Elephas maximus indicus: one gene and its partner. Each later gene encodes a partner of the first gene's protein in a complex. Links are inferred from orthologs where the notes say so. Each region holds a gene or a part of one and is shown on either strand. Other genes may lie near its edges. The genes, in order: SMC4 and NCAPH2.

Region 1 (14,771 bases):
AATGAATGAAGGGGAAAAAAAGCTCTCTTTACCCACTGGTCTTTAACTTTAGAGAATTTGAGGCTCAAGTTACTGTAGCTATCTTACCATAGCACAGGAGAGCCTGGAGGTGCCAGAGACCACTGAGTGGTGCCTGAGAAAAATGCCAAGACAGTGGAATGCAGAGTAAAGAAAAGAAACCAAATCCTGGTGTCTTTGTTTGAGTCCCTAAATCCAGTTACACTCACCTAGCTTTTTAGTTATTGGAGCCAATAATTTTTTTTCTCAAGACAATTTGGATTGGATATCCTGTCACTTTAACCTAGACGGTCCTACCTGAAACATTACTGTAATTACTTCTTCTTCCTAGATTCTAACAATAGACTTTTCCTCAATATCCCCAGTCAGTTGCTATTCCCGTCTCACAACCTAAAAACACCCAATCTATGGTTAGTGTTCCTTCCTATCTTTTTTTGTAACACTATCTCATCTTATTTTCTCTCTTGAGCTATATTCTCTACCTCTACCGCCCGTTGGATACATCTTCTTGACTGTCACCCCATAATCCCAACCTACAAGAACAAAAACTCATCTTTCAAAATTATTCCCCCCTGCAAAAAAACTGTTCCACTTCCCCGTTTCCTGATTTTTCTGTGATAAATCAGGTGAGAGTTTCAGTAAGATTAAGATTAATGTACTAGTGGGCTTATATTATCAAGAGGAATACTCATTACTATCTGTATTTTGTATATACCTAACTTTATTAATACATTTGATTAATATATAGGATATATTAGTCAAGCAGTGTTCTGTAAATATATATTACTTACACAATTCATCTTTATTCATTTTATTAGTTATTACAAACTTAATTGGTTAATATTTTTAAACATTTACTCACAAATCCAAGTTCGGACTTTCTTAAGTGCTGTACACACTTTTAGAGGGCAGACAAAACACATACTACAATGATCACAAAACTTAACGGTTCACTTAAAGAACTGCAAATGTGGATTTTAATTCTAATTTTTCTCTTTGGGGTTATCCTCTCAGACCGCCTGAAACTACACTAAGGATTGTTGGTAGATGGTTCTGGACCAGGAAGATGAGATTTGGTTATGTTTTACAAAATGATTGTAACCCCCCGTTATAGTTCGACCAGCTTCTTTTTATAATTAGACTCTTAATTTCCCAAGAAATGCAAAGTATTGGCAACCATCAACCAAGTCTTTATTTCTTGTTACCTAAAGCTTTTCTCAAAAATCACACTCAATCTGAGTGTCTTATTCTCATGTTGTTGTTGTTAGGTGCCGTCGAGTCGGTTCCGACTCATAGCGACCCTATGCACAACAGAATGAAACACTGCCTGGTCCTGCGCCATCCTTACAATCGCTGTTATGCTTGAGCTCATTGTTGCAGCCTCTGTGTCAATCCACCTTGCTGAGGGTCTTCCTCTTTTCCGCTGACCCTGTACTCTGCCAAGCATGATGTCCTTCTCCAGGGACTGATCCCTCCTGACAACATGTCCAAAGTATGTAAGACGCAGTCTCACCATCCTTGCCTCTAAGGAGCATTCTGGCCGCACTTCTTCCAAGACAAATTTGTTCCTTCTTTTGACAGTCCATGGTATCATTCAGTATTCTTCGCCAACACCACAATTCAAAGGCGTCAACTCTTCTTCGGTCTTCCTTATTCATTGTCCAGCTTTCACATGCATATGATGCTCTTGAAAATACCACGGTGGCTTGGGTCAGGCGCACCTTAGTCTTCAAGGTGACATCTTTGCTCTTCAACACTTTGAAGAGGTCCTTTGCAGCAGATTTACCCAATGCAATGTGTCTTTTGATTTCTTGACTGCTGCTTCCATGGCTGTTGATTGCGGATCCAAGTAAAATGAAATCCTTGACAACTTCAATCTTTTCACCGTTTATCATGATGTTGCTCGTTGGTCCAGTTGTGAGGATTTTTGTTTTCTTTACGTTGAGATACAATCCATACTGAAGGCTGTCTTTGATCTTCATTAGTAAGTGCCTCAAGTCCTCTTCACCTTCAGCAAGAAAGGTTGTGTCATCTGCATAACGCAGCTTAACGAGTCTTCCTCCAATCCTGATGCCCCGTTCTTCTTCATATAGTCCAGCTTCTCGTATTATTTGTTCAGCATACAGATTAAATAGGTATGGTGAAAGAACACAACCCTGACACACACCTTTCTTGACTCTAAACCAATCAGTATCCCCTTGTTCTGTCCGAACAACTGCCTCTTGATCTAGGTAAAGGTTCCTCATGAGCACAATTAAGTGTTCTGAAATTCCCACTCTTCGCAGTGTTATCCATAGTTTGTTATGATCCACACAGTCGAATGCCTTTGTATAGTCAATAAAACACAGGTAAACATCCTCTGGTATTCTCTGCTTTCAGCCAGGATCTATCTGATATCAGCAATGATATCCCTGGTTCCACGTCCTCTTCTGAAACCAGCCTGAATTTCTGGCAGTTCCCAGTCGATACACTGCTGCAGCCGTTTTTGAATGATCTTCAGCAAAATTTTGCTTGTGTGTGATATTAATGATATTGTTCTATAATTTCCACATTCAGTTGGATCACCTTTCTTGGGAATACGCATAAATATGGATCTCTTCTAGTCAGTTGGCCAGGAAGCTGTCTTCCATATTTCTTGGCATAGACGAGTGTGCACCTCCAGGGTTGCATCTGTTTGTTGAAACACCTCAATTGATATTCCATCAATTCCTGGAGCCTTGTTTTTCGCCAATGCCTTCAGCGCAGCTTGGACTTCTTCCTTCAGTACCATCAGTTCCGGATTACATGCCACCTCTTGAAATGGTTGAATATCGACTAATTCCTTTTTGGTATAATGACTCTTTGTATTCCTTCCATCTTCTTTTGATGCTTCCTGCGTCGTTTAATATTTTCCCCATGGAATCCTTCACTATTGCAACTCGAGGCTTGAATTTTTTCTTCACTTCTTTCAGCTTGAGAAACACTGAGCGTGTTCTTCCCTTTTGTTTTTCCATCTCCAGCTCTTTGCACGTGACATTATAATACTTTACTTTGTCTTCTCGAGAGGCCCTTTGAAATGTTCTGTTCAGTTCTTTTACTTCATCAATCTTCCTTTTGCTTTAGCTGCTCGACGCTCAATAGCAAGTTTCAGAGTCTCCTCTGACACCCATCTTGGTCTTTTCTTTCTTTCCTGTCTTTTCAGTGACCTCTTGCTTTCTTCATGGATGATGTCCTTGATGTCATCCCACAACTCGTCTGGTCTGCGGTCACTAGTGTTCAATGCGTCAAATCTATTCTTCAGATGGTCTCTAAATTCAGGTGGGATATACTCAAGGTCATATTTTGGCTCTCCTGGACATGCTCTGATTTTCTTCAGTTTTGGCTTGAACTTACATATGAGCAATTAATGGTCTGTTCCACAGTCGGCCCCTGGCCTTGTTCTGACTGATATTGAGCTTTTCCATCGTCTCTTTCCACAGATGTAGTCAATTTGATTTCTGGTTGTTCCATCTGGCGAGGTCCATGTGTATAGTCGCCATTTATGCTGATGAAAGAAGGTATTTGCAATGAAGAAGTCGTTGGTCTTGCAAAATTCTATCATTCAATCTCCGACATTGTTTCTACCACCAGGGCCATATTTTCCAACTACTGATCCTTCTTCTTTGTTTCCAACTTTCTCATTCCAATTGCCAGTAATTATCAATGCATCTTGATTGCATGTTTGATCAGCAGCTGATAAAAATTTTCTATTTTTTCATCTTTGGCCCTAGTGGTTGGTGTGTAAATTTGAATAATAGTCTTATTAACTGGTCTTCCTTGTAGGTGTATGGATATTATCCTATCACTGACAGCGTTGTACTTCAGGATAGATCTTGAAACGTTCTTTTCAATGATGAATGCAGCACCATTCCTCTTCGAGTTGTCATTCCCAGCATAGTAGACTATATGTCCGATTCAAAATGGCCAATACCAGTCCATTTCAGCTCATTAATGCCTAGGATATCGATGTTTATGCATTCCATTTCAGTTTTGACGATTTCCAATTTTCCTAGATTCATACTTTTGTACATTCCAGATTCCGATTATTAATGGATGTTTGCAGCCGTTTCTTCTCATTTTGAGTCGTGCCACATCAGCAAATGAAGGTCCTGAAAGCTTTACGCCATCCACGTCATTAAGGTCGACTCTACTTTGAGGAGGCAGCTCTTCCCCAGTCATCTTTTGAGTGCCTTCCAACCTGGGGGGCTCATCTTCCAACACTATATCAGACAATGTTCTGCTGCTATTCGTAAGGTTTTCACTAGCTAATGTTTTTCAGTACACTGCCGGGTCCTTCCTCCTAGTCTGTCTTAGTCTGGAAGCTCAGCTGAAACCTGTCCTCCATGGGTGGCCCTGCTGGTATCTGAATACCAGTGGCATAGCTTCCAGCATCACAGCAACACACAAGCCCTGACAGTACATATGACAAACTGACAGACACGTGGGGGTCTTATTCTCATAGCACATATAAATATCCAAATTAAAGTCTACCCTGTAGCTGCTTGTTACAAATGTGTTTACTTCATTATGTAGCCTGATTTAAGCCTGCTTTGAAAATATTTGTTCTTCATGGGGCGTAGTTAGATTCAAGTAAACCTAAGACCGTGGGTCAGCTTATTGATTTGTTGAAACTACGTTATTTTCTCATCAGTCACTAAGTCCTACCATATTGACAGCAATCATCAAGGGCACTAAAACTAGGATTCATTTTTAAGATTTATTTTTATTCCTACCTCTTAGTCATTAATTCAGGGATTCACATACAAAGAACAGTATCTGACTGATTTTAAATTCATACTCATCCATCAAAACCTATATAAACTATATAGATTTTTCCCCCAAAATGATTCCGGATGTTTCTCCATTCTGCTATGTTGGCAATTCTCACCTCTCACATGGAGAACTGTACAGCAATGATCTAACTAAAGTCATGACTGATTTCAGTTTCTTTCCATTAGCACATCCACGTACTACTGTTAATTATTCTTCCTATTTTCACCAAGTTGCTCCTTGGCTCAAAACTTTTCTAATAGCTCTATTTTCTTCCATATCACATCTAACATCCTTGGCCTGGTTTTCAAGACCTTCCATAAGCTACTCCTTCTCCAACTTGACATCCCATTTTTCATGTACATATCCTAACAAAGTCAACGTCATAAACATAGCAACATCAAATGCTTATAGGATGTGTGCTAGAAATTTTCTCATAAGCATTCCTATGGGATAGGTGTTAAACACTGGTTTTATATATAAATACTGAGAGATTGATAAATTGAGTAAATTGTCAAAGTATGTACCTAAAAGTGATGAGATTTGGGGTTCTAACATTTATCTATATCATATTTTTCTACTACATTGTGCTATGTTACTCATACTCATTGTGCTATGTTACTCACAACCCATGTGTGTCAGAGTAGAACTGTGCCCCATAGGGCTTTCAACGGCTCATTTTTCAGAAGCAGATTTCCAGGCCTTTCTTCCCAAGTGCTTGGTTAGCAGCCAAGTACATTAACTGTTTGCATCAATTTTACAACATTCAAAAATCCACAAGACTCTAGAGCCATCAAAGAGAACCACTAGATCTTCTTGGTATGAATACCAGCCAAAAACTTTCTCAATGAGCTTCATTTTCTGCAGTTTGTGTTATGAAAACGATGATTATTTTTTCAACTGCAAACATAAATGCATATTATAATAACTAGTTATTGTTTATTCAAACCACACCAGCCTCCCAACCCCAGCAAATTATTACACTTGGAGAACGTGTCCTCCTCACCCCTGAACCTGACTGTGTGCTCCTTCAGGGCAGGAGCCATTACATGTTTAGAGTGACAATGTAAATTCATTCATAAACCAGATTTATTGCTTTTAATAAACGAGGCTCTAAGGTAGGCCCTAAGTATGCAAAAGGTTAAAAAAAAAAAAAAAAGACTCCCAGTCCTCAATGTCGAGTACATAAGAGTCCTGGGTAAATCCTTACTGGAGGTCGTCAAATTAACCAGTGGTTTTGTTTGTTTAACACCGAGGGGGCCTAGAGGCACGTTTGAGAATGCGAAGAAAGTACTGGGAAAACTAACCCCCCAGAAAAACGTACAAACACACAGAATTTTGTATAACATGACAAAGGGGTTATGAATTGTTCCGAAGCCAAATCGCCTACCACTGGATACAAAGACCCCGGTTAAAAACCCCAAAAGAAAACTCAGTTCTCTGGGGACAGGAATTCTCCTACTTGCTTGACAATCCTGATTTTGTCTTGCACGGTGCCATGTATACAGTAGCCCCTTAATGTTTGCCGATCGATAAAAATAACCAAATGACACTAGCAAATTGCTTCTTCCGTTGCGGAGCCCTTTTGTCAAATAATTTGAAAAGCCCGAAACTCCCTTTCACTAATAACATTAATGACCTAACCCCAATAACTCGACAGTCATTACCTTGCTATTCCCACATGGCGTACACGAGCAACCACTAATCCAGGCTCTCCTCTTCTCCTGGCGCCCCCCGCCCCCCAAACTCTGGGCTCCTCGGTACCCCAAAAGCTACGCCCAAAGCCCCTGTACCCCAGGGAGACAGACTGTAACAGGTGCTCCGTGCCACACGCACCCTCAAAGCAGGAAAGGTGCTGGCTACAACGAGGAGCCCTTTCCTGGCCGCGTCCGGAGCTGACGAGATTTACCTCAGGTCCCAGTGAAGCGGAGGAGACTGGCCTCACAGAGCCTGGGCAGTCACCATAGTGACGTCTCCCAGCAACGCTCCCCGCCTTCCCGCGATACTTCCCCCCGCACCGCACGGCGCGTCACGGAGCCGAGCCGAGGCCCCGCCCCGCAGCGCGCCCGCCCGCTCCTCAGGGGGCGTCGTTGGACGTTGAGCCTCGCCTTCAGCTGTGGGCGGAACCCGACTCTATTTTTTTTTTCTCTTTTTCAAAAACCGCCACGTTTTTTAAATGTGGTGTTTATAATAGTGCTGCTGCTACTGGCCGCTGGGTAAACATTCCCTTCTCCTCCGTTTTCACTTAGGACGAACGTCCCCTACCGCCCGGGGTCCGCCCGGAGTTTGCGCTTGCGCAAGAATGACCAGAAGATGGCGGCGGTAATCGCCGCACTTTTTTTCAAATTAGTGGATCCCAGAAAGCATTGCGCGCGTTTGTAACGAATTTCCGTTCGAGTTTGTATTTTAGGCGCCATTTTCGAGTGAAGCACCCGGAGCCGAGACACCGGCAGGAGCGCGGTGGGCTCCGCAACCGTCTCCAACCTTGGACTGGCCCGCAGGTAAAGTACTTCCTTTCCCGGCCGGGTGGTCGGATCCTTGGCTGCCGAGCGGCCCGGGGCGCCCGGAGAGCAGAGGCCGGGAGCCGGACCGCGGAGCCGGTCCCGAGGCTCCGCCGAGCGGCTTCCCCGCTGTCACCCCTCCCCCCCCGGCCGCTCCCGCGGTCCGGGCCCCGCGCGCTTCTCCCGAGCGCGGCGCTCAGCTCCGCGGGCGTCCCCTGGGCGGGCTGCCGCCTGGCCGGCCGCTTCTGCGGGGAAAGCCGTGCCCCCGGCCCGAGCCCGGCCCTCCGGGCGCCCCCGAGGGACTGGCGGCCGCCTCTGAGCCTTCGCTGGCGACCCTTCCCGGCTGACTTCCGTCTAACGGCGCTCGGCCGCGGGCCGTCCTGAGGAGGGAATCGCCGCCGCCGACCCAGCCCTCGGCCGCCCTTTCGGGGTCGCGCGGGGAGGGGAGACGGCGAAGCCCCCGAGCGGCCCGCGGCGGCGAGGGGCTCCCTCCTGGGTGGCCTGGGAGGGCCGGCGGCCGCTCGGGGCCGAGGCGCGCTGCTGCCTACGCCGGAGAGCGGGCACGTCCGTCGGCGTCGGCTGCGTGTGGGGTCGGGTCGTCGGCGAGTTAGTTTGTGCGGCTACACTGGGGGCGCCCCGGGGCCGAGGGTCCCGAAAAACCTGGAGGGTTAACTGGCTGGTTCCCGGGCACGTCTGGGCTTCCCCACCTGCCCAGGTCTTCCTGAGAAAACCATCCCGCCTTCCTGCCCTTCGGTTTTATTGTGGCTTCTTCCCCGACGGAGTTGGGGGTCGGGGAGCGGCGGGCTGGGGGTATGAGGTCGGGGAGCGGGGGTCGGGGGTCGGGCAGCGGCAGGCTGGGAGTATGAGGTCGGAGAGCGGCGGGCGGGGTATGGGGTCGGGGAGCGGGGGGCTGGGGTCGGGGGTCGGGCAGCGGCGGGCGGGGTATGGGGTCGGGGAGCGGCGGGCGGGCTATGGGGTCGGGGAGCGGCGGGCGGGCTATGGGGTCGGGCAGCGGCGGGCGGGGTATGGGGTCGGGGAGCGGCGGGCGGGCTATGGGGTCGGGGAGCGGCGGGCGGGCTATGGGGTCGGGGAGCGGCGGGCGGGCTATGGGGTCGGGGAGCGGCGGGCGGGCTATGGGGTCGGGGAGCGGCGGGCGGGCTATGGGGTCGGGGAGCGGGGGGTACGAGGTCGGGGAGCGGCGGGCGGGGTATGGGGTCAGGGCTGGGGGCGGCGGGCGGGGGGTACGAGGTCGGGGAGCGGCGCGCGGGGTACGAGGTCGGGGAGCGGCGGGCGGGGTGTGGGCTCAGGGCCGGGGCGGTGGGAGCGGGGCGGGGGGCCGAGCCGGCCCGCCTGGAGGAGGCCGCCCCCGCCGCGGGCTGACTGGCTCGGGCTCTCCCCGCCCAGCCACCATGCCCCGCAAAGGCGCCCAGCCCTCCACCGCCCGGCGCGGAGAGGAGCCGCCGCGGTCCCCGGCCGACGCCAGCCCCGACGCCGAGCCCGAGCCGCCGTCCGGCCGCGCCGAGAGCCCGAGCTCCTCCGCCGCGGGTGAGTGCGGGGCCCCGGGACGGGCGGGCGTCGGGGGTCGGGGGTCGGGGCCGGGCCGTCGACGGCCGGGAAAGCCGCTCCGGCGCGGCGGGGACGGGGCGAGCGCGTAGCTCGGCGTGGGAGCCGGTTGGTGGCGGCGCGGACGCCCGTCCCTGGCGCGGCGGAAGTCGGCACGGCCGGCCGAGGGCCGGTGGCCGTTCGCGGGCGGCGCCGGTGCCTGGTCTGTGACCCCGCGGGCACGTCGCGGGCCCTCGGCGCGGCCGCGTGGCCTGAGGCACCTGTGGCAGAAGGAAGGAGGCGCGCGGCCCGGAGTCCGGGGCTGAGGCGCGCGGGGAGCCTCCCTGGGCTCAGGTGGAAAGGCGGGGTGCCGCGCCCCGAGGTCGGCTCCCTGCGCTAAGGGAGGCCCCCTGCCTTGCCTCCGCCGACCTAGAAGCGCCCGGGGAGGACCTCGACAGCCGAAGTTTAGAAGAAATCCTGGGCAGCGTCCCTCCGCCGCCGCCTCCGGCGATGACCAATGAAGCCGGCGCTCCCAGGCTGATGATAACGCACATCGTGAACCAGAACTTCAAATCCTACGCCGGGGAGAAAATTCTGGGACCTTTTCACAAGGTATGTGCCCCTCTTATGTAACTGCTGTTAGCGGAGGTATCAGTTCTTACATGATCTTTCCAGTGTTTTTAACTGTTTATTCTGAGCCACGCTGAGTGATGTGTTTATCGTGTATGTGCATAGATAAATATCGAGTGTTTCTCATGCTTCAATATCTGAAACTAGCTTTTGTTTATCTGGATATCTTTAATACCTCATTCCATATAAAGTTTCTTCACTAAGAAGAATTGATTAGTTTTTTGTTTGAAAGGAGTGTTTTCCTTAACTACAAAAATGAATTTCGTAAAAAAAAAAAAAAGTGGGTTACAGTTAGAATATGGTCTCTAGGTGTGAAAGCTTGTGAGAGAGGAAAACACTTTAAAAAAAAACTTAAAAGTTGAAGTTGGGTGTCTTCAAGCAATGAAAGCTTGTAAACGTGTGTAGTTTTACTTCAGATAAAAAAATTAGTAGTTCAGAATCAGTAGTATTAGTATGACATCTTTAACTTTAATTTTTTTCTGTTCTTTTTATGCAGCGCTTTTCGTGTATTATTGGGCCAAATGGCAGTGGCAAATCCAATGTTATTGACTCTATGCTTTTTGTGTTTGGCTATCGAGCACAAAAAATTAGGTCTAAAAAACTCTCTGTACTAATACATAATTCTGATGAGCACAAGGATATTCAGAGTTGTACTGTAGAAGTTCATTTCCAAAAGATAATTGATAAGGTAAGGGATTTTCACTACTTGATTCTTTGAAATTTAGGGAACACAAATATTACACAGTATTTTTGGTTTAAATTGGCTTTTTAAATTTTGAATATAGTTAAAGCAGAACAATTATTGATTCCGTTACCTCTGGCTGCGTTCGCTTTTTGGAGAGTGTAGTGGCTATTTAAAATATTAAAATTTTTAGAGAAATGAATTATAAATAATTCGTATTAATCTTTACTTTTTTGAAAGAAAATGTTGAGCAGTTTTAGTATCCTGCATGCCAAATAGACATTGTTTTACTATAAACTTTGGGATCATTTTAAAACCTACCATGTAATTGCTTTTTAAAAATTACCTATGGTTGAAAATGTTACAACTGACTAACTTTGCTATCCTTAATGTTTATGTGAAAGTGAACGTTGTTAGTGGTCCTGTATGTTTGTAATACGAGAGAGCTTTGCTTCAGTTTGAACTATTGTGATTAAGTCCTTTTTAAACGGGAAAGGTCATCAAACTACTGTTTGCTTTCTAGAAGTGGAGACAATTATAAGTAAAATACCTATTTAGATTATTTGCACTGTTTTGTTGGTTTCTTGTTTTATTTTGCTTAAATAGTTAACTTTGGAAACTCATGCTTTAAAAATGTCAGTGGAACATAAAAATACGGGGAACTAATTACATAATGGACCTTTTTCTTTCAATATATGTAACAGGTTTTAAATCTACATGGAAGTATCTTTTAATTTTCTTAATGTTTTCTATTGTACATTTTGGGTTGAGGAATACATAGTAAATCATATTTGATTTGACTGCATTTTTTAAAAGCCGTAATGTTAATGTGACAGCCCTTTTATTTTTAAGGGTAAGGGAAAGCAAATTCTAAGATTAAAGGAGATTTGCCCTTGATTTTTTAAAAATCTGTTTGGTTAAAAAAAAAAAAAATCAGGGCATGTAGTTGTCAATTATTTGCAACTTTCTTTTTACTTTCAATTAAAGGTGCTCTTTACCCCCAGAAAACGTTGCCGTGTCACTGTATCACTGCCTACCTTCCTTTTTCCTTGAATGGTCTATTGCTGTAGCTTTTTTTAATGAACTAGTAATTTAATCTGTCAATATTATTTAATAATTTGAATGGGTTTGTTTTGAACATGGTAGAATTCTTGGCCCCCTTCATCAACTCTGTTTTCTCAGCCAGTATGTTTTTAGGTTTGTTTGGAGGTTGAGTGTTTTTGCTGTTGTCGATTGGTATTTTTTTTGTGATCTGTGAGTCAGGAACCAAACAACTTGGAGAAGTATGTCGTCTTGCTAAGCAAGATTATTTCTGAGGATTACTGCCAGTTTGTTGTGTGCACGTTCAATGAAGTTTTTAATTCATAGAATTAGTTCCAATGTGAAATTTGAAGTAGACTATGCCTATTTAATACCAGCGATTGTTTTTTTGGGTTTGTTTTTTCTCACAACAGGAAGGAGATGATTATGAAGTCATTCCTAACAGTAACTTCTATGTGTCCAGAACAGCCTACAGAGATAATACTTCTGTTTACCACATAAGTGGGAAGAAAAAGACATTTAAGGATGTTGGAAATCTTCTTCGAAGCCATGGAATTGACTTGGACCATAATAGATTTTTAATCTTACAGGTAAGTTTATTAAAGATTTCATAGGTTCTCTTGGTCTTGTGTTGTGTTGTTTTGTTTTCAGTAAAGGTAGGGGTTTTCCCCTGTTGGATCAATCCTGTATTTTCGAGGCCTTAAAGTACTGTAGCAGCACATCATGGTTTACATACTACAGTCAAGATGCGAATCATTATTTGCTGCTCTAGAAATTTAAGGAAATTCATTCAAAACACGGTTTTCATCATCAGATACTACTACAATGTTTGGATGGACTGACATGCTTGTTCCACTCTAGCAGCACGTAAATATTGGCGTAGTGAAGTAAATATTAGACCCCAATATTATTGTGCTGCTTTAGTGTGACAGGGATACAGCATCTATTTACCATTTGTTTTTATTTGCCTTGAAGATAAGTTTTTATATATATATATTTGTGTTTCGGGTGAAAGTTTACAATGCAAGTTAGGTTCCCTTTTGACAGTTTCTACAAAAATTGATTGTGATATTAAGGTTTTCACCTTGTGTTAGCATTCTCATTAATTGTGTTCTGATTGTTCCATTTTTAGTCCTCTAGCTTCCCTGCTCCCTTAGCTCCTTGAAGGTAACATTTTAAGTGGAATTCACTGTCTTTTAATAGTGTACTGTTTTCTTTATATTTGTTCTTATTATGTCTACTAATATTATATGGCAAAAAAAAAAAGAAAATCGAAATCTCTACACTTTGTGCTCGGTAAATTTACCTGAGCACCTAATTTAATCTTTTTAATACTTACACTGGTAAATTAGAAGTTTATTCAAATAGATGCTTTGTTTTGTTTAGAATGGCCTACTTTCTTGAACCAATGCTATTAGTAAATGAGAAAGTAACTTTGATGTCTCATTCTTTAAGTATCACAACTCTTAAAGAACAAAAGTTTTTTTTTTAAAGGAGTATAAAAATCAAGTACCAGGTGTTAAGTCGGTTTTTGTTATTAGAGATTCTGTGTTTTTTATTTTTACCGGTATTGCTTGGTAAGAAAATTCCTTATCTTTTGTTTCTTGTGCCTTACTTTTCAAAAAAAAAAAAAAAAAAACTTTGGCTTTATCAGACATTTTAAAATCCCTTTTTTATTTGAAACTATCTTTTTCTGGGTCCTATTTAGAATCAGCAAGAACATAATAATAAAAGCAAAACTAGTTTGTGATACATAAATTGCTGTTAATATTCTTTAGTGTCTTGTGCTACTGATATTAAAATAAGTTGAAAATTTTGATTTGACGTCAAAAGCTTTGTTAGGGTAACTGAGTGTTCCCAGTAACATACTTAAAAAATAGTAGTCTCTACTTCCATTTAAATTTTTATTCTTCAATTACCTAAAAAAAGAAAATACTTTTAGGTATATGTAGTATATAAGGTAAATTAATATCATTTTGGAATAATCTGTATAAATATCTCGTTATCAGGCACAGTACATTAGTAGTATCTCTATGACCCAAACTTATTTAAAAATAAATGTTGGAAAATGGCTGAACTTTTATATTCTGGGACTTGATTTGGTTAATTATAGATCAAAAGTTATATTCTTTTATAGCACTAAATTTGATGATGAAACTTGTCATGTTGTAGAAAACCATGCTTAGTGCTTATCTTCTATTCTCTGCTTTTTCTTTACTTTCATTCTGGGATAATGACTCAAAGTTTTATACCTTTGCAAAGACTGATCAAACTAGAGTAGACTGCATTTTAACCTTTGTAAGGATAATTTTTTTCCCTGACTGTAGCTTCCCTGTATGTGGTTCAGTAATAAAGGAAGCTAATAACTTACCAATGAAGTAAATAAGTTCTAAATTTTCCACTTTATATTAAATATATGCTTCTGAAGTACCTGGAATGTGTAAATCATTTATCTTCGTAATTACCTGTACTTTTGTTTGTGTGTGTGATCTTAACAAATCGTATTGAACATTTCTCCCAAAATAGTGCTGAGGTAAACTTTTCAAGTTAACAGATGAGATTCAGTTCTGTTAAATTTACAGATAAGAACCTTAGGAACTCACCTGGTAGGAAGAAGACACAGGGATTGAGCTAGGGAGAACTAATGGTGCCCTGTAAGAAGTTTGAGAGAAAGTGGTGATTTGTGTTAGGTTTTTATTAAATTTTTTATCATAATAACCTTAGACTGCTATACTAGAGATTTAAATCATTTAAAGGTAAGTATGTGGGTTTTATTACCTTCTCTCCTGCTGAATAAAATTTATCTTAAAAATTAGTCTTGGTTTGGGAGGCCTAGGAACTTGGAGACAGCACCCTAAATCACCATCCAAGACGTAAGCGATTGAATAAAGTATATAAACTCTTTGGCCCATGGTAGTGATTAACAGTCTAAGTAAATTTAGTAAAAGTAAAAATTTATTTTAAGTTAAAAGCACTGAATTTTAGAAGTTCCCAAGGGTTTTATTATTTCATTTCTTACAACGTCTATATATTGGTTTGGAGCCCTGGTGGCGTAGCAGTTAAGAGCTCGGCTGCTAAGCAAAAGATTGGCACTTCAGATCCACCAGCTGCTCCTTGGAAACCCTTTGGGGAGTTCTACTCTGTCCTATAGGGTCACAATGAGTTGACAGCACGTGGCAATGACGACAACATATATTCGGTTTAGTAAGTTTTTCAAGCAAGCATATCTAGGATTTGAATTCATTTAAAGTTTCATCGTTTGACCTTTCGGATGAGCACCTAGTTAAACACTATGCTAAGGTGCTATCCTTCGCCTTAGAGGCATTTCCATATGCCCTCAGAAAGTGTTAGATTATAACTGACCGCTGTATTTCCCATGTTTGTGTATTTCCTCATTTATATATACCTTATTTGGGTGCCTTTGTCTCCTTATAATAAACAAATATTGGTCCAAACAAGTAGGATATTTTTAGCTCTGTATAGCATTTCATCGGTGACTGTGACTTATAAACTGGGTTTAATTGGTTTTGGTGCGTTTGCTCCATTCGAGGTTAGGGGAATGATAACCA
Region 2 (14,861 bases), on another chromosome or scaffold:
CTTTTGCCTAGAGCGCCCTTCTCCTCAGGTTCGGGAGGTATGAGTGGGCTGTGTGGCTGCTGCTTCTCCCTGAGGAAACTTCAGCCACATGCTAGTACCAGCCTGCCACCGCTGCCCCGGGAATGGTGCCTGAGGGCTCCCCGCAATTCAGGTCCGGTAACTCCTCTCCACTTCTGAACGGCCTCTCCCTCCCCCTGCCCCTCAGTTCGTTGTCTAAGCTTGCCTTTGATGCTCAGGGCTCTCAGCTTGTCACAAATATACTCATTTCACTTGTTTTTTCAGGTCTTTGTTGTAAAGAGGGCTCGAGGGAAGAGTCTGTCTATTCCGCCATCTTGGCTCCACCTCCTCTTTCCATCTTCTTTTGATGCTTCCTGTGTCATTTAATATTTTCCCCATAGAATCCTTCACTATTGCAACTTGAGGCTTGAATTTTTCTTTAGTTCTTTCAGCTTGAGAAATGCTGAGTGTGTTCTTCCCTTTTGGTTTTCTACCTCCGGTCTTTGCACATGTCATTATAATACTTTGCTTTGTCTTCTAGAGCTGCCTTTTGAAATCTTCTGTTCAGCTCTTTTACTTCATCATTTTTCTTTTGCTTTAGCTACTCAAGGTTCAAGAATAAGTTTCAGAGTCTCTTCTGACATCCATTTAGGTCTTTCTTTGTCTCCTGTCTTTTTAATGACCTCTTCCTTTCTTCATGTATGATGTCCTTGATGTCGTTCCACAATTCGTTTGGTGTTCGGTCATTAGTGTTCAACGCATCAAATCTGTTCTTGAGATGGTCTCTAAATTCAGGTGTTTATACTCAAGGCTGTGCTTTGGGTCTCATGGACTTATTCTAATTTTCTCCAGTTTCAACTTGAACTTGCATATGAGTGACTGATGGTCTGACCCGCAGTCGGCCCCTGGCCTTGTTCTGCCTGATGATATTGAGCTTCGTCATTATCTCTTTCCACGGATATAGTTGATTTGATTAGCGTGTAGTCCATCTGGTGAAGTCCATGTGTTTAGTTGCTGTTTATGTTGGTAGAAAAAGTTACTTGCGATGAAGAAGTCATTGGTCTTGCAAAATTCAATCATGTGATCTCCGGCATTGTTTCTCTCACCAAGGCCATATTTTCCAACTACTCATCCTTCTTTGCTTCCAGCTTTCACATTCCAATCTCCAGTAATTATCAAGGTATCCTGATTGCATGTTTGATCAGTTTCAGACTGCAGAAGTTGATAAAAATCTTCAATTTCTTCATCTTTGGCCTTAGTGGTTGGTGCGTAAATTTTAATAATAGTCATTTTAACTGGTCTTCCTTGTAGCCGTGTGGATATTATCCTACCGCTGACAGTGTTGTACTTCAGGATAGATCTTGAAATGTTCTTTTTGATGATGACTGCAACACCATTCCTCTTCTAGTTGTCATTCCTGGCATAGGAGACCATAACCCACTAAACCGCTGCTGTTGAGTCGATTCCTACTCATAAAACTCATAGCGACCCCATAAAAAAAAAAAATTTTTTTTTTTTTTTTTTTCAGAATAAAACTGCACCATAGAGTTTCCCAGGAGTGCCTGGTGGATTCGAACTGCCAACCTCTTGGTTAGCAGCCGTAGCACTTAACCACTACGCCACCAGGGTTTCCATATGATTGTCCAGTTGAAAATGACCAATACCGGTCCATTTCAGCTCACTAAGGCCGAGGATACAGGTCTTTATGCTTTCCATTTCATTGTTCAGAATTTCCAATTTTCCTAGATTCATACTTTTTACATTCCACATTCTGATTATTAATGGATGTCTGGAGCTGTTTCTTCTCATTTTGAGTCATGCCACGTCAGTAAATGAAGGTCCCAAAGCTTTACTCCATCCATGTCATTAAGGTCGACTCTACTTTGAGGAGGCAGCTCTTCCCCAGTAGTCTTTTGAGTGCCTTCTAACCTGGGGGGCTCATCTTCCGGCACAGTATCAGAAAATGTTCACTGCTATTCATAAGGTTTTAACTAATTCTTTTCAGAAGTGGTTTGCCAGGTCCTTCTTCCTAGTCTCTTAGTCTGGAAGCTCTGCTAAAACCTGTCCTCCGTAGGTAACCCTGCTGGTATTTGAGTACTGGTGGCATAGCTTCCAGCATCACAGCAACACACAAGCCCCTGCAGTGGGACAAACTCACAGACGTGTTGGGGTTGCTATGAGTCAGAATTACCTGATGGCACACAACAACTGTTTTAAAGTAAAGCCAGACCTGTAGGTCGTATTTTCAGTGTTCAAGAGCCCAATCATACAGATGGCACGGGACCAGGCAGCCTTTTGTTCCCTTGTGCATGGGATTGCCCTTAGTTGGGCGTCAAGTCTAAGGCAGCCAACGAGAACCCCTGAAGGCATCCAAAAGCTCTAGGCTCAGGCCCCCTGAAACCATGCCTTGTGGGGGCACAGGGTCCATTGGAGGGAGCAGGGAGTGGGGTAGGAGAAGCTGGGCATACGGGACACTCCAGGGGTCTGTGAGGGAAAGCAGGGGGCCTGGGAGCCGAGGACAGAGTAGGAGCAGGGCAGCTGGGCTGTGAGTTTCCCACAGAGGGGTGACCCCCGGCGAGAGCCACAGACCTCAGGACCCAGCAGAAGTCTGGACCTAGCCCCCACCCCAGGCTCCCCGCATCCTCTTCCCAGGAATCAGTGCCTCTGCCTGCCTAGGTCTCCAAACTGGAGGGCAGAGGTTGCTAGACATATTCTCTCTTTCCATCCACCTTCCTGCTCCCTCCCCCCATCCGCCGGAGCATCCAGGGTGGGCACCTTCCTTGGGCCCCCCCATCCACCTGGACCACATGCCCCATGGTGGCTGCCCCCAACCTCCCTTTATGCCTTGCCTAAGTCGGTCCAGTGCCGTGGCTTTGCTGGAGTGGAAGAAAAGGGCTGGGCTTTGGCAGGTCCCCCAGCCCTTGTGTTCCCTTGGACGAGTCTGGCCCCACATCCCACCGCCTGGCTCTGCGCCCTGCAGGATGGAGCTGGGAGGCCTGAGGGCATCCATCAGTCTGTGCGGAGAATGCTAGGCTGGGATGCAGAGCTACCTGACTTGAGGCCACTGCCCAGCTGGACAGAGCTCTGGCTGGCCACTCCATAGCAGGGAAGGGGCTACTTTGACCACTAGACACATGGTTTGGCACAAAAGACACCTTTATTGGTTTACAGATCCAAATACCTATTCCGCCTCTTTTTTCAGCAAGTCAGCCTCATTCCTTGCCTCTTGGGGACTCCAGACCCAGACCCTCATGAGAGGACCAGAGGAGAAGGGGCTCCTGCCTGCCAGCTGCAAGGTTTGTCCAGGGAAGGGCTGTGATGGGGCTGCTGGGCCATGGGCCGCCCCCTGGGCTCATTGCTGAGACCAAGGAATATATGGGAGGCATGGGGGTGACAAGTGATCCTTGAAGCCACAGGGAGCCAGGGTCACCCAGGAGAGCCTCATGGGTGGGGGGCAGCACGCCAATCTGCGTCTGCCACAGCAGTGTTGGTTAAGGCACTCGTGGCTAGCCGTGTGCTGCTGAGGGGAGGCCTGCGCTGCTGGGGGACCCTCCCTGCCCCCTTGGGGACACCCATCTCAACGAAGCACAGCTACTTCTTTCGCCGGGGGGTCCGTGCCCCGCTGCTGCAGCTGTCAGGGGTGGGGTTGGCCTGTTCACTGGCAGCTCCTGGCTCCTTCTTGGAGGCTGTCCTGTGTTTCTCCTCCCTGCTGGTGGGTGGGGAGTGGGCAGATAGCAGGCCCTGGACCACCCTGATGGCCCCTATGGCCACAAGGAGGCCCCAGAGCAGGGCGGGGGCCCCCACGGAAGATAGCTGGGTCCGCACCCAGTGCAGGGCCTGGGGCAGGGAGCTGCTGGTGCTGCGGGGTCGCGGTGGGCTCCTATCCTGTCATGGGGGGGAACACAGTGAGGGTGGTCCACGGAGGGCAGTCACCTGAGCCCCCCCAGCCAACTGACACCTCCTACCTGAAGCCCAAACTGTGTGAGGAGTGTGTCCAGCGTGGGGTCCCCCAGCGCCACGGGCGGGAAGAACTGCTCTACCCACTGGCGGCGCCACCACCGGCTGCAGCAGGTCTGGCGGTCAGTGCGTGTCTAGACCCAGGCCCCCCCACCCGCCTCGTGCACCAACCTACCCCTGTTCCCCAGGCTGTGAGAACCAATACTTGTAGCGCTGGGCGCGAATGTAGGTGGGCGGCTGTTTGTGGAAGGGGTACCTGGTGAGATCATCCTGTATCAGGCGGATCACTGTGGGATGGAGAGCCTGGCTCAGCCTTGGCCGCCCCATATCCCCACCAGTGACTGGCCGACTGGCTGTCCTCCTTCACATCCCTGCGCTCTTTCCATGCCGGCCCCACCTGCACATCACCCCCATCTAGCACCACCCCCTCTCCATCCCATCCCACCCCTCCCTCCAACCTTCCCTCACCCTGGCCCGGCCCCCCCTCACCAGGCTCCTGGCCCTGCAGCAGTCGGAGGACCAGGCCAGTGAACCAGGGGCTGTGTGTGTGTGGCCCCAGTGCCGCAAACCACATCTGCCAGTCGAGGCGTGGCTGGTGAGGTGCCACGATGGGCGGAGGCCGGCTCATGTTCCCAGGCTTGTACATAAACTCAATTTCCTGCCAGATGGTGCCACAGTCAGTGGCCAGCTGGGTCCACGCCCACTCGGCCACCCACCGTGAGGCCCACCTGCAGGGGCTTACTGTCCAGTGGTTTCCATCGTAGCTGCCCTCCAGTACTACCTCGGGCCGCCCACCCAGACCGGTCATCTGGCGGAAGAGGCCATAGGAGTTGGCCAGCTGTAGGTGCTCCACGGCGCCAAAGAGGCGATGGGCCCCGGTCCAGAGGCGCCCATGGGTGCCCGGCTCCATGTAGGAGTAGGGTACCTGAAGACAGATGAACAGAGACTCAGTGCGGCTCTGAGCACCCGCAGTGCACCCCAGCTTCCCCACGCCCTCCTCCCCTAGCTACCCACCAGGCTGACAGTGAATAAGGCCACTGTGGCCGTGCCAAAGACGGACAGCTGGACCGCAGACCAGAGCTTCCACAGCCACCCGCGCACCTGTGTCCACCTGGGGGGAACTAAGGGTGGTCAGGCCTATGGGCATACCGCTGTCACCTCTACCTCCCTGACTCTGGCCCATGTACCTCCAGAGTGCAGCCAGCAGCTCCCAGGCAAGGGAGGCCCCACCAAGCCACATGGTGGGCAGGGTCACTGTCTTCAGCCACTGGGAGAACTGGTGAAAAGTGAAGTCTGTGGGGAAGGGGGAGTTGGGGGCAGGTGTGAGGACGGGTGTGAGGGGAGCAGCCCACCCTCCCTCCCAGCCAGTGCTCACTGGTTCTAGAGTGGATGGTACGTTGTTCCCAGTCCACTTCCAGGCTGAAGTAGTGAGCAGTGCCATAGGCCAGCAGCCCGTAGACAGCCAGCTCCAGCAGCAGGGCCAGCATGGTCAGAAGGGCCCTGGGCCAGGCTATGGGGAGGACAGTCATGGTTGACTGGGGATGGGGGTGGGCGGGCCATGGGGGAGCTAGAGCCGGGGCCACAGGGGGGAACTTACAGGCAGGCATCTTTTTGCGGCGGCTGCGGTCCCGCTCAACACCTAGATGCTTGTCATCCAGCAAGGCAGTGCAGAGCACCAGGGTGAGCAGGTTGAAGAAGTTGTAGTTGCCTGTGATGATGATCAAGACTTGCAGCAGGACCTAGGGGGGTCTGCACTCAGAGTTTCTGAAAGCCATCCCTGGAGCCCTTCAAAGCCTGCTGCGCCTGGCCCCACCACAAGCACCCTGACCACATCTGTCTTGGTCTCCACTGCAGACAGCCCTCCCTGTTGTGGCTTGGGAGCACACCCCTCACCATCCCCCAGCTCGTTTCCACCTCATCTGCCCTCAGCCAGTGCTTGACTCTTCCACAGTTCTCGTGATCTCAGCACATGGCAAGTGGTCCTTCCCCACCTGGCTCCTGCTGACCTAGACACCGATATCCTCAACATGGCTGTAATCCTCCCACTGCGGGCCTACCCCTCCACACCCCTATTCTTTGCCATTGCTGCTTCCTGCCTGGAAGTGCTGAGCAGAGCTGAGCCCTGCTTGGGTCTCCAAAGCTGAGCCCCACCCACCTGGGAGTAGAAGGCTGCCAAGCGCAGGCGGCGGAGTGGGGAGAAGAACAGAGGTGGCACTGCAATCTCGATGAGGAAGGTAGCTGCCACGCTGAGCCTGTGCAGCCAGACAGGCAGGTGGTGGGCGAACCAGGCAGCGGGTGTGGGCAGGCACTGTGTCTCGTAGTGGTATGTGAGGGCTGCAGGGTGGGGGGGCAGACAATCAGGGCCAGCTGGAGCTCCCAGATCACCCCGGTTCCAGGCCAGGATCCTCACCGGTGAGCCCCCACCATGCGGGGCAGCGGCTGGTCAGCTTGACCACACCCGAAGCGAACATGAGCCGGAACAGCAGCCAGCGCACTAGCCAGAAGGGGAGGTCTTCGTGGGGCGCAGCTCCCGTCAGCCTGCCCTGGGAGTCCTGCTTGCGAACCGGGGGCTGCCTCAGCGGGGCCACCAGCACAGCCAGGAAGCCAGTCTCCAGAAGCAGGGAATCCCTATTGGAGAGAAAAGAGTACAAAGGGCCCCCCTCACCAGTCGCTGCCCTCAAAGGGGCCTCCTGCAGAGTGAGACACACTTGCCCAGCCCTCCTGCAGCCCGAGCCCGGAGCCACTCACCACTGGAAATAGAGGAACACCTGGCCCACCTGCAGGGAGAGGGGCTGTCAGGGGGCAAAGGGGTGTGTCTGGGCACCGGGCAGGGCAGAGATGTGGGGGCGGGGAACAGAGGGTGGCCCCACTTGCCTGGCAGGCCGACAGATAGGCAGCCCAGAGCAGCAGGTAGGTGAGGCGGTGGCGCAGTGGGCGGAGCAGCACAGCGCCCACAGCCAGCAGCGTGCCCAGCAGGCTCAGCAGCTCCAGGCCCTGGGCAGTGTCCAGCCCCAGCCTTGGCACCTCCCACAGGAGCGTCGGCATCTCCCACAGCTGCTGCCAGCGCCCCTTGCCCTGTGGCCGCAGCATCCTCCGAGCCGGCAGGATGCCCTCAGCACCATATAGGCCTGTGAGAGGGCACATCAGGGCCGGGGCACCGTCTTTGCAGGCTAGGTCCCCCACCCCAGGTCAGGGTCTGCAGAACCCTCCACTCAAACCTGCAGATCCCACCCCCCAGGACCCAGAGCGCCTACCTGACACCCTAGGTCGGGAAGTCCCACCCTGCAGAGCCCAGCTCCCCTCCCCTCCTGGTCAGAGCCCTCCCCTTCTACCTGCCCTACCACGTCTGGGCAGAGGCTTCTCCCGCCCACGTCAGTTCTGCCCCCCCCCCCCCGCCTCAAATCAGAGCCCGGAACCACGTGGAAAGCAGACCATTGCTCTCACGTCCGCCCCCAGCATCCCCGCGGCCCGCAGGATACGGACCGCCGCCCCCACCCCACGCACTAAGGCCCGAACCTCACTCCTGTCCCCCGCCCCCAGACAGCAGAGGGTCAGGCCAGGCGAGGAGCGGACGCGAGGCCCCGAGCGCGGATCGGGGGGTGTCCCGCCCTCGGCACCCTCACCCGGGATCTGCTTGTAGAGGGAAGCAAAGGCGAACATGAAGACGGCGGCCACGCCCTGGAGGAAGAGCTGCCGCGGGAGCCTGGAGGCCGCCATGTCCGCTACGCGGCCGGCTGGAGACGAGCCAGCCAAGGCCGCTAGGCCGCCAGGCCCCGCCCCGCCCGGCAGGCCCCGCCCCGCCCGGCAGGCCCCGCCCCGCCCGGCAGGCCCCGCCCCGCCCGGCAGGCCCCGCCCCGCCCGGCAGGCCCCGTCCCGCCCACCGGGCCCCGCCCCGAGCCTCCAGGCTCCGCCCCGCCCCAGCACGCGGAGGGAAACTGCAAGCCCCGTCCCTTTGCTGGCTCCGCCCCGCCCCGCCTCGACGCCTGCCCCACCTCCAGCGCGCGCCGCGGCTTTCCTCCCTCCCCCGCCTTGCCTCGAGTGACGTCATAGGTCTGCGCGCGGCGACGCGTGCGACGTATTCTCCTGGGCGGGAACAGCAAAATGGCGCCAGAACTGGTGGCGGGCTGAGGGCACTGGTCGGTCCCCTTCGGAAGCAGATCCTGCTGTCCCGGCCCGCTCTTGCCGCGCGCCCGGCCCCTCCCGGACATGGAGGACGTAGAGGCGCGCTTTGCCCATCTCCTGCAGCCCATCCGGGACCTCACCAAGAACTGGGAGGTGGACGTGGCGGCCCAGCTGGGCGAGTATCTGGAGGAGGTAAGGGCGGCGGGGGAGTGGCGCGGCGTGAGCCTCCAGGTCGGCGGCCCTCCGGCGCCCCGGCTTCGCTCGTCCCCAGGCTCCTTACTGCTTCCTTTTCCCAACCGCATCATTGCCTCCCGAAGTCACCTCCTCGTGAGGTTCGCCAGGAGTCGTAATTGCAGGTCGCTGCTCTTTGGTGAGCCGTGAAGTCGATTTCGTGAGTTGTGACAAGCAGTTTTCTCAGATGAAATAGAGCAGACTAGAAACTATTAAAGTTCATTTTGTTTTAGTTATTGTGTGCATATTTGTGTATGTGTATGTGAGAGAGAAACTTGGATCACTGTGCAAAAGGGTTTCTTGCAGTGGGTTTCCAGACCGCTTTTCAGCCACTGCCATGTTCATCCTGCCAGCATTAATCGTTCTTCCGTGTTTGACAGCCGTGCCTACCCTTTAACATCAAGTCAATTCGGATCCATAGCGACCCTATAGGACAGAGTAGAGCTGCCCCATAGGGTTTCCAAGGCTGTAATCTTTTTTTTTTTTAATCTTTACGGAAGCAGACTGCCACGTCTCCTGCGGAGAGGCTGGTGGGTTAGAATGACCGACCTTTCAGTTAGCAGTGCCACCTCCACTAAGGAGCCGCCGGCTCCACTTTTGCACCTCCCTCTCCTCAGCCCGCCCAGCCTGGCTTCCCCTACACTTAAACTGCTCTTTTCTTGATCAACAACGACTTTCATTGTACCAAATCCAAGGGACGCTAAAAGTGTTAGCTTACTCCAGCGGCAGCCTTTGTTGGAGTTGATGGCTCCCTTTTACTTGAAAGGGTGTCTTTTTTTGGGTTCCTTGACAGGGCATTCTGATTTCCTTCTTATGCCACTGGCTCCTTTTTTCTCCTGTCTAATCGCTCCTCAGGGCAAGGGCCAGCCATATTTTGGCACTTCCGCCCTTAAACAATCTCATTTATTTCCACGATTTTAAAAAACATCTGCATCATTTTAACTCCGAAATTTATATCTCCACCCAGATCTTTCTTCTGAATCTATTTTTGTGTTTCTAGCTGCTCATATGACATTCCGCTGATTTGTCACATAAATATTTAAGGTATTTAAAGTGCAATTCTTCATTTTTCTGCTCAAACCTCAGTCATTGATTTCAGTAAATGGCACCACTGTTCAACCAGCTACTGAAAGTGAAAGGTAAGAGCTGTTCAGGTGAAACCCCATGCAGTGCACCCCGTTTATCCATGGATTCTGTCTCCTATACCACCAGAGTATTGCTTGAATTCACCTGCTCTCCATTTTCACTGGTCCAGGCCACCAGCATCTCTGAATCATGTGAAATCTTCCCAGCAGCTCCTTACCTCTGCCTTTGACCCCCCGCAATCCATGTTCCATCCAGCAGCAAGTGTGGCTCTTAGAAAATAAAATCCAGCTACATCACCTTGCTGCTTAAAGCCCATCCCTGCTTTCCGCTGCACTTGGAATATAACCCAAATTCCTCCCTGTGGCTTCCAGGCCCCTCTGGGTCTGGCCCTGCTACCTTTCTAGCCTCATCTTAGGCCATTCTCTGCCTTACTCTTTCATGTCAGTCAACCTGACACCTTCTAGCTTCTTCCTGCCTGAGGGCCTTCATATGTTCTGCTCTAACTAAGGAACAATCTTTCCCCAGTTCTTTGTATGACTAATTTTTTCTCATCTTTAGATTTCAGCTTCAGTGCCAGCTGACAACTATCTAATAAAGTTCAGTCTCCCAGGGTACCTTATGCATGTACCTTATGCATTTTAGAGTACTTTTTGTGATCTGCTCTTTAACTTATTTACTTGTTTGTGGTCTGTATCTATCCTAGTGTGTAAGTTCTGTGAGGGCAGGGGCCACGTCTTTGCCCTCTTCTCTCTGCCTTATTGAATGCCTGGCTCACAGTAGGAGTGGAATAAATATTTGTTGTGTGAACACTGATCTGGTGAGTGATCTTCTCTGCCCTGACATTCAGCCTGCTGAGAAAATGTGGAGAACTGTGCCAGGTGGAGTTACTGTGGATTCAGGTTTCCACACTGAGCAAGGCCTTGGTGACACCTGGTAAATCTGCTTCCTCCTGCTGCCCTCCTGCCTGTTTCTGTGCTCACAAACCTCTGGCCCTGATGTCATGATCTCCAGCCTCTAGTTTTGCCTTTTCCCTTCTTTTTACCTTCCACATAGTTAACAGAACGTTCTTTTTTGACATGCCATGTTGCTGTCCTGTTTCATCCATTTATTTATTCGGTGCCTGTAACCACCAGCTTCATAAGGCAGGAGGTGAATCATTATCAGCCTCAGTGCCCCGAGGCTGATTGTTACGAGGTGGAGGTCAGACATGCCACCTCTCTCCTTGCGGCACTCTCTACTTCTCTGCTGGGTTTGATGATTCGCTGCAAGGGTCACGCAGAACTCAGAGACCATTATTAGGGTTTATTAGGGAAGTAACAGGTTTCAATTCAGGGTCAGGAATGACTCAAGATACAGCTCTTCAAGATCAGGACAACCTCTTCTCACCTGTACCCACTGGCAGGCCTCTCTTTGGTCCTTGGCCTCTCGGACCCTTGCCTTAGCCTCTGCCCTGCTCAGGCAAGTGTTACAAAGCCCTCATAGCTCTGCCAATAAGTACCGGGGGGCACCCTACTCCGCCAGCAAGCTTCACCCTGAAGGTGTTCCGCTCTCTCACTCCGTGGGTCAGCAAGCCTAGCTCCGCCAATAAGTGCCTGGGGCATCCCACTCCATCAGGAACGTTTCTGTGTGAAGGCGCTCAGCTCTCTTGCTCCATGGGTCGGCACACCCGCTGTAACCGCCTTGCTCTGTGGGCCAGGAAGCCCACCACACCGTCTCTTGCTGGTCTCCTGCTACTGCTGCGGCCGTTTCTCTGCTGCTGCCTCTCACTGTCTTGCACCATCTCTGGTGTTACAGCTCTCTCTCTCTCTGTCTTGGGTCTAGGGGGTTCTCAGCAGAGGGACTCCAGGTCCAAAGGATGTGCTCCCATCCTGTCATTCTTGGTGGTAGTCAGGTCCCCTCTTTCTGCTTATGGGATGGCTCATTTTAAGCCTAGCGGGATGGCAAAACTGGCCAACTCCCTCATTAGGGTTCCATACACCTTCTTTGCATGGTCCCATACCCCCTGCCAAGGGTGCCATGCCCTATTATTGCATTATTATCAAGCTATCCAGTCCTCTTGGTGGGACACAAGCACCTTATTTGCACAGCCCCATTCAGCCATTTGGTGGGAGTTACAAGACCATGGATGAGAAAGGCCATGTAAAACTGATCCGCTGTAGTGTGGCGTTGTTCAGTGTCTAGCTGTGTTAGACCCTAGGGAATAGTGGGAAGCAGACCAGACAACAGCTCCTGCTTTAATAGGACCCCCAGTCGGTGGGGAAGATGAGTCTTAAAGAAGTAGCCACACGGTGTTGTAGTTAGTGCTTTTTGTGCTCTGTGCATATGAGCTCATTTAATCCTCACGAAACCCCTACTGGTGTAGGTGGTTCTTCCCCTTCTCACAGATGAGGAAGACGAGGCATGGGAAAGTTAGCCATGCCCAGTCACGACTGGCAAGGGGCAGAGCAGAGTCTGTGTTCCCAGCCACTGCACAGCACCTTCGTATAGTCACAGGCTACCTGAGTTCTGAAAGAAACGTTTGAGGTTCCATGAAGAGTTTGACTGGGGATCTCTCTCTTTTATGATGAAACCAGCTGCCTAGTTAAGTGAGCTGAAGAAGATTCCAGGCAGAGGGACAGGTGTGGGAAGGTTCTAAGCAGGCCTGCGTGGTCACATGGCTCTGTTTAGAATTTGGGGTTTTCCATTAGGGTTCTGAGGGCACGTTGTGGTCCACTTTAGGACAAGTGCTGGCTAGAGTGCTGAGCATAGGCAAGGGAAGAGAGGGTAGGAGAGCCCTGTTGGATTCTGTGGTCCAGGCCAGAGTGGAGCTGGCTGGGCAAGAGCAGGGCTGTCACCCAGAGCAGAGTGACATGGTCAGGGTACAGGCACAGCAGGGCATTGACAAGGAACTGGGACAGGTGGGATCAGGAGGTGAGAAGGAGTTAGACTCCAGGGTTTCTGGGCAGGTGGTTTGTGTCAGAGGTTATCTGGACTTCAGCGTGGACTTGTTTAGTATGAATTCCCATTAAGACATCCGATGGACATCTGAAGTGGGCGCTGGACTTGTGGGTTTAGCGCAGAAGGGAAGTCCAAACTGGAGCTGTATTTGGGAGCCATCGGAAGCGTAGACAGGTGGTGTAGGTGCTCCAGCCTGCCACCCTGCGGGCCCTTCCCCGTGTCCTGATGCTGTGCTTCCCCCACAATGGCGCTCCTCTGTCCTCCTTCCCCCTGACCCTACACACTCCTCTCTCCCCTCAAGAGTCAGTAGAAGCATCTTCCCTTTGGTGGCATCTTCCCAGGCTTTCCCCCTTCTTTGTGATGCTGTGTTTGAATAGTATTTGTTCTCCTAAGCAGCTGTACCCTTCTTGGCTCACTGCCCTTGCATGGTGGCCACTCTTCCTGCCGGGCTGTCTCCCTTCGTTTGTTTGGCAAATGTCCATTTTTTAGGCTGAGCTCTGACATCACTACTTGACATGTTCATCAGATATTTATTGATACCAGTGTCAGGCTCCAAACCTGGGGCTGGAATTTAAAGCAGCTCCCAGCCCAGTGAGGGGACAAGAGGCAGGGGACGGCTCCAGTGCGTGAGCCTACCCTGGTGATGGAGCCGTGCAAGGGTGCCCAGAGCTGGGTCTGCGTCTGCGGGAGCAAGTGGGGGGGGGGGCTGCAGAATCTTTCACATTAGAGCAGAGTTGGGGGTACCTGTGTCTGGGGGATAGCTGGGGGAAGGTGCCCTATGGCAAAGCAAGGGCAGAAAGGCTTGAGGAAATACCAGGGAGCCTTCAGAGTGTCCATCACAGAGAGGTGCACAGTGGAGGGCCAGCTTGGGGGGACAGTGAGTCAGGCCTGGAGATGGAGGGTCAGGAACACATCTTGGTGGAGCCATCCAGTAAGCAGCAGGAGAGGGTCCTGGAGGTGAGGTCTGAGAATCATGAGTGCAAGCCTGGCAGTCTGGTAGATGGGTGGTGGATTCACAGGTGAGCAGATGAGTCATGAAGAGAGGAGGGCCAAGGCAAGCCCTGGGCGCTAATGTTTCTGGGTGAGCAGGGGAACAAGGGCTTAGAGAAGGCCGGCGTGGTGGAAGGGGAAGGAAGATAACCTACCAGAAGTGTCTCCTGGGTTCTCTGCTCCAAGGATGGAGACCCTGTTGTTCTACGTCTGTGTTCCCTACCCCCGGGGTTTCTCTTTTCTTAGGGTGGGGGGTCTGTGTGCTGGGACTGTTAGGGTGGGGCTCTGACTTGGGGGAGTGTCATAGAACGCCCTCCCCGTGCCTCACAGGAATGTGAGTGGCTCTGGCCATTTGGTAGACAGTCAACTCTGGGAGCCTCCCTTTTAAATACGCTAGGTCCCAGAGATTACAGGAAGTAGGTGAATGACAAAAAAGGTGAACACACAGTGGAGTCAGATCTGTCAGCGGAGGGGTGGTCTGCTCTCCATCCAGCGCTGTCAGAATCACTAGGGGGTGCTGCAGAAGAGGATGGGGTGCTGCAGAGGGGGAGAGGGAAGGCTGCAGAGGGAGCAGAGGGCTGCAGAGAGGCAGGGGCTGCAGATGGAGGGGGTGCTGCAGAGGGGGAGAGGGAAGGCTGCAGGGGGCTGCAGAGGGAGCAGGGGCCTGCAGATGGGGGGCTGCAGAGAGGAGGGGGTGAGGGGGGCTGCCGAGGGGAGGAGGGGGGAGGGGAGGGGGGCACTGCAGGGGAAGCCACACTAGCATGGGGCTCCTGCCCACCCCTGCGGATGTCTTGCAGCTGGACCAGATCTGCATTTCTTTTGATGAAGGCAAGACTACGATGAACTTCATTGAGGCAGCGCTGCTGATCCAGGGCTCTGCCTGTGTCTACAGTAAGAAGGTGAGCCTGCGCTGGGACGGGCTGGGATGTGCGGCAGGCCAGGGGCTTGTCCTCCTCTGACCTGACCTCCCAGCATCCCAGCCTCCACTCCCGAGTCCTTGTAACACTAAAGAGCAAGCTTGGATTTAAAATGGCTTCATGTGGCCAAGAAGAGAGGGTGCGTGTGTTGTTGGCGCCGTTACTGCCTGTACGAGTAACACCTAAGGCAAGGGTATACTGCACATAGGGTGGCACCTGTGCGCCCTGCTCTGTCATCCGGCAGTCTCGTCGTGGCATCTCAAAGGCCCGAGCCCCTTCCCCCTACTCAGTGGGTCCTCCTATTCTAGACAGGAAACAAGGTTGTGGCTGGAGCTGCCTCGGTGCCAGCAGAGACTCACAGGCGCTGCTGTGGAGGTGGCATGAGGCCTGAGGGGGCAGGAGAACAGCAGGAGCTGACCTCGGGCTCCTGGTGGGAGGGGCAAGGAGGGTGGGCGTGGCTGTGAGGGGCGCTGCCAGTGAGGGAGTGCACTGGGGGAGCCAGGGCTGGACTGAGTCTGCCTTCAGAAGGCCTCACTGGTTGCTGTGTGCAGTGGTGGTGGGAGGGGCGGGGGCCTCCAGCCATCAGTAATTAGCTGGAGATGCTGGTTCGATTTCAGATGTAGT

The links.
Region 2: the proteins of SMC4 (region 1) and NCAPH2 are in contact, whole or in part, in a cryo-EM structure (PDB 9F5W), measured with the Homo sapiens proteins. The link is inferred for Elephas maximus indicus from reciprocal best matches to the Homo sapiens genes SMC4 and NCAPH2. Residues at the interface, in NP_001002800.1 of Homo sapiens: Ile100, Leu101, Gly102, Pro103, Ile112, Gly113, Pro114, Ser117, Gln1151, Met1152, Leu1155, Phe1227, Lys1228, Ser1231, Ile1232, Phe1235, Tyr1236, Glu1239, Gln1240, Asn1253, Asn1254, Phe1256, Glu1257, Arg1261, Gly1264, Ile1265, Tyr1266, Lys1267, Thr1268, Tyr1269; in NP_689512.2 of Homo sapiens: Arg494, Ile495, Trp498, Glu499, Thr501, Val502, Leu505, Leu506, Gln509, Glu510, His512, Phe547, Cys550, Arg551, Met553, Leu554, Leu557, Gln558, Ala560, Asn561, Tyr563, Val565, Glu566, Ile567, Gln569, Leu573, Glu574, Ala576, Val577, Asp578.

The regions. Positions count from the first base shown.
Region 1 is NC_064841.1:318,385-333,155, reverse strand, and holds the start of SMC4 (structural maintenance of chromosomes protein 4), read left to right. Parts: upstream 1-6,901; 5' UTR 6,902-7,307; intron 7,308-8,711; 5' UTR 8,712-8,716; coding exon 8,717-8,852; intron 8,853-9,282; coding exon 9,283-9,461; intron 9,462-9,975; coding exon 9,976-10,167; intron 10,168-11,615; coding exon 11,616-11,792; intron 11,793-14,771. UniProt on the Homo sapiens protein: Central component of the condensin complex, a complex required for conversion of interphase chromatin into mitotic-like condense chromosomes.
Region 2 is NC_064822.1:196,869,811-196,884,671, forward strand, and holds the start of NCAPH2 (condensin-2 complex subunit H2), read left to right. Parts: upstream 1-8,020; 5' UTR 8,021-8,160; coding exon 8,161-8,268; intron 8,269-14,117; coding exon 14,118-14,219; intron 14,220-14,861. Other genes in the region: LMF2 (lipase maturation factor 2), read right to left, coding at 3,589-3,882, 3,963-4,059, 4,130-4,241, 4,444-4,612, 4,697-4,879, 4,969-5,065, 5,142-5,247, 5,330-5,464 and 6 more. UniProt on the Homo sapiens protein: Regulatory subunit of the condensin-2 complex, a complex that seems to provide chromosomes with an additional level of organization and rigidity and in establishing mitotic chromosome architecture.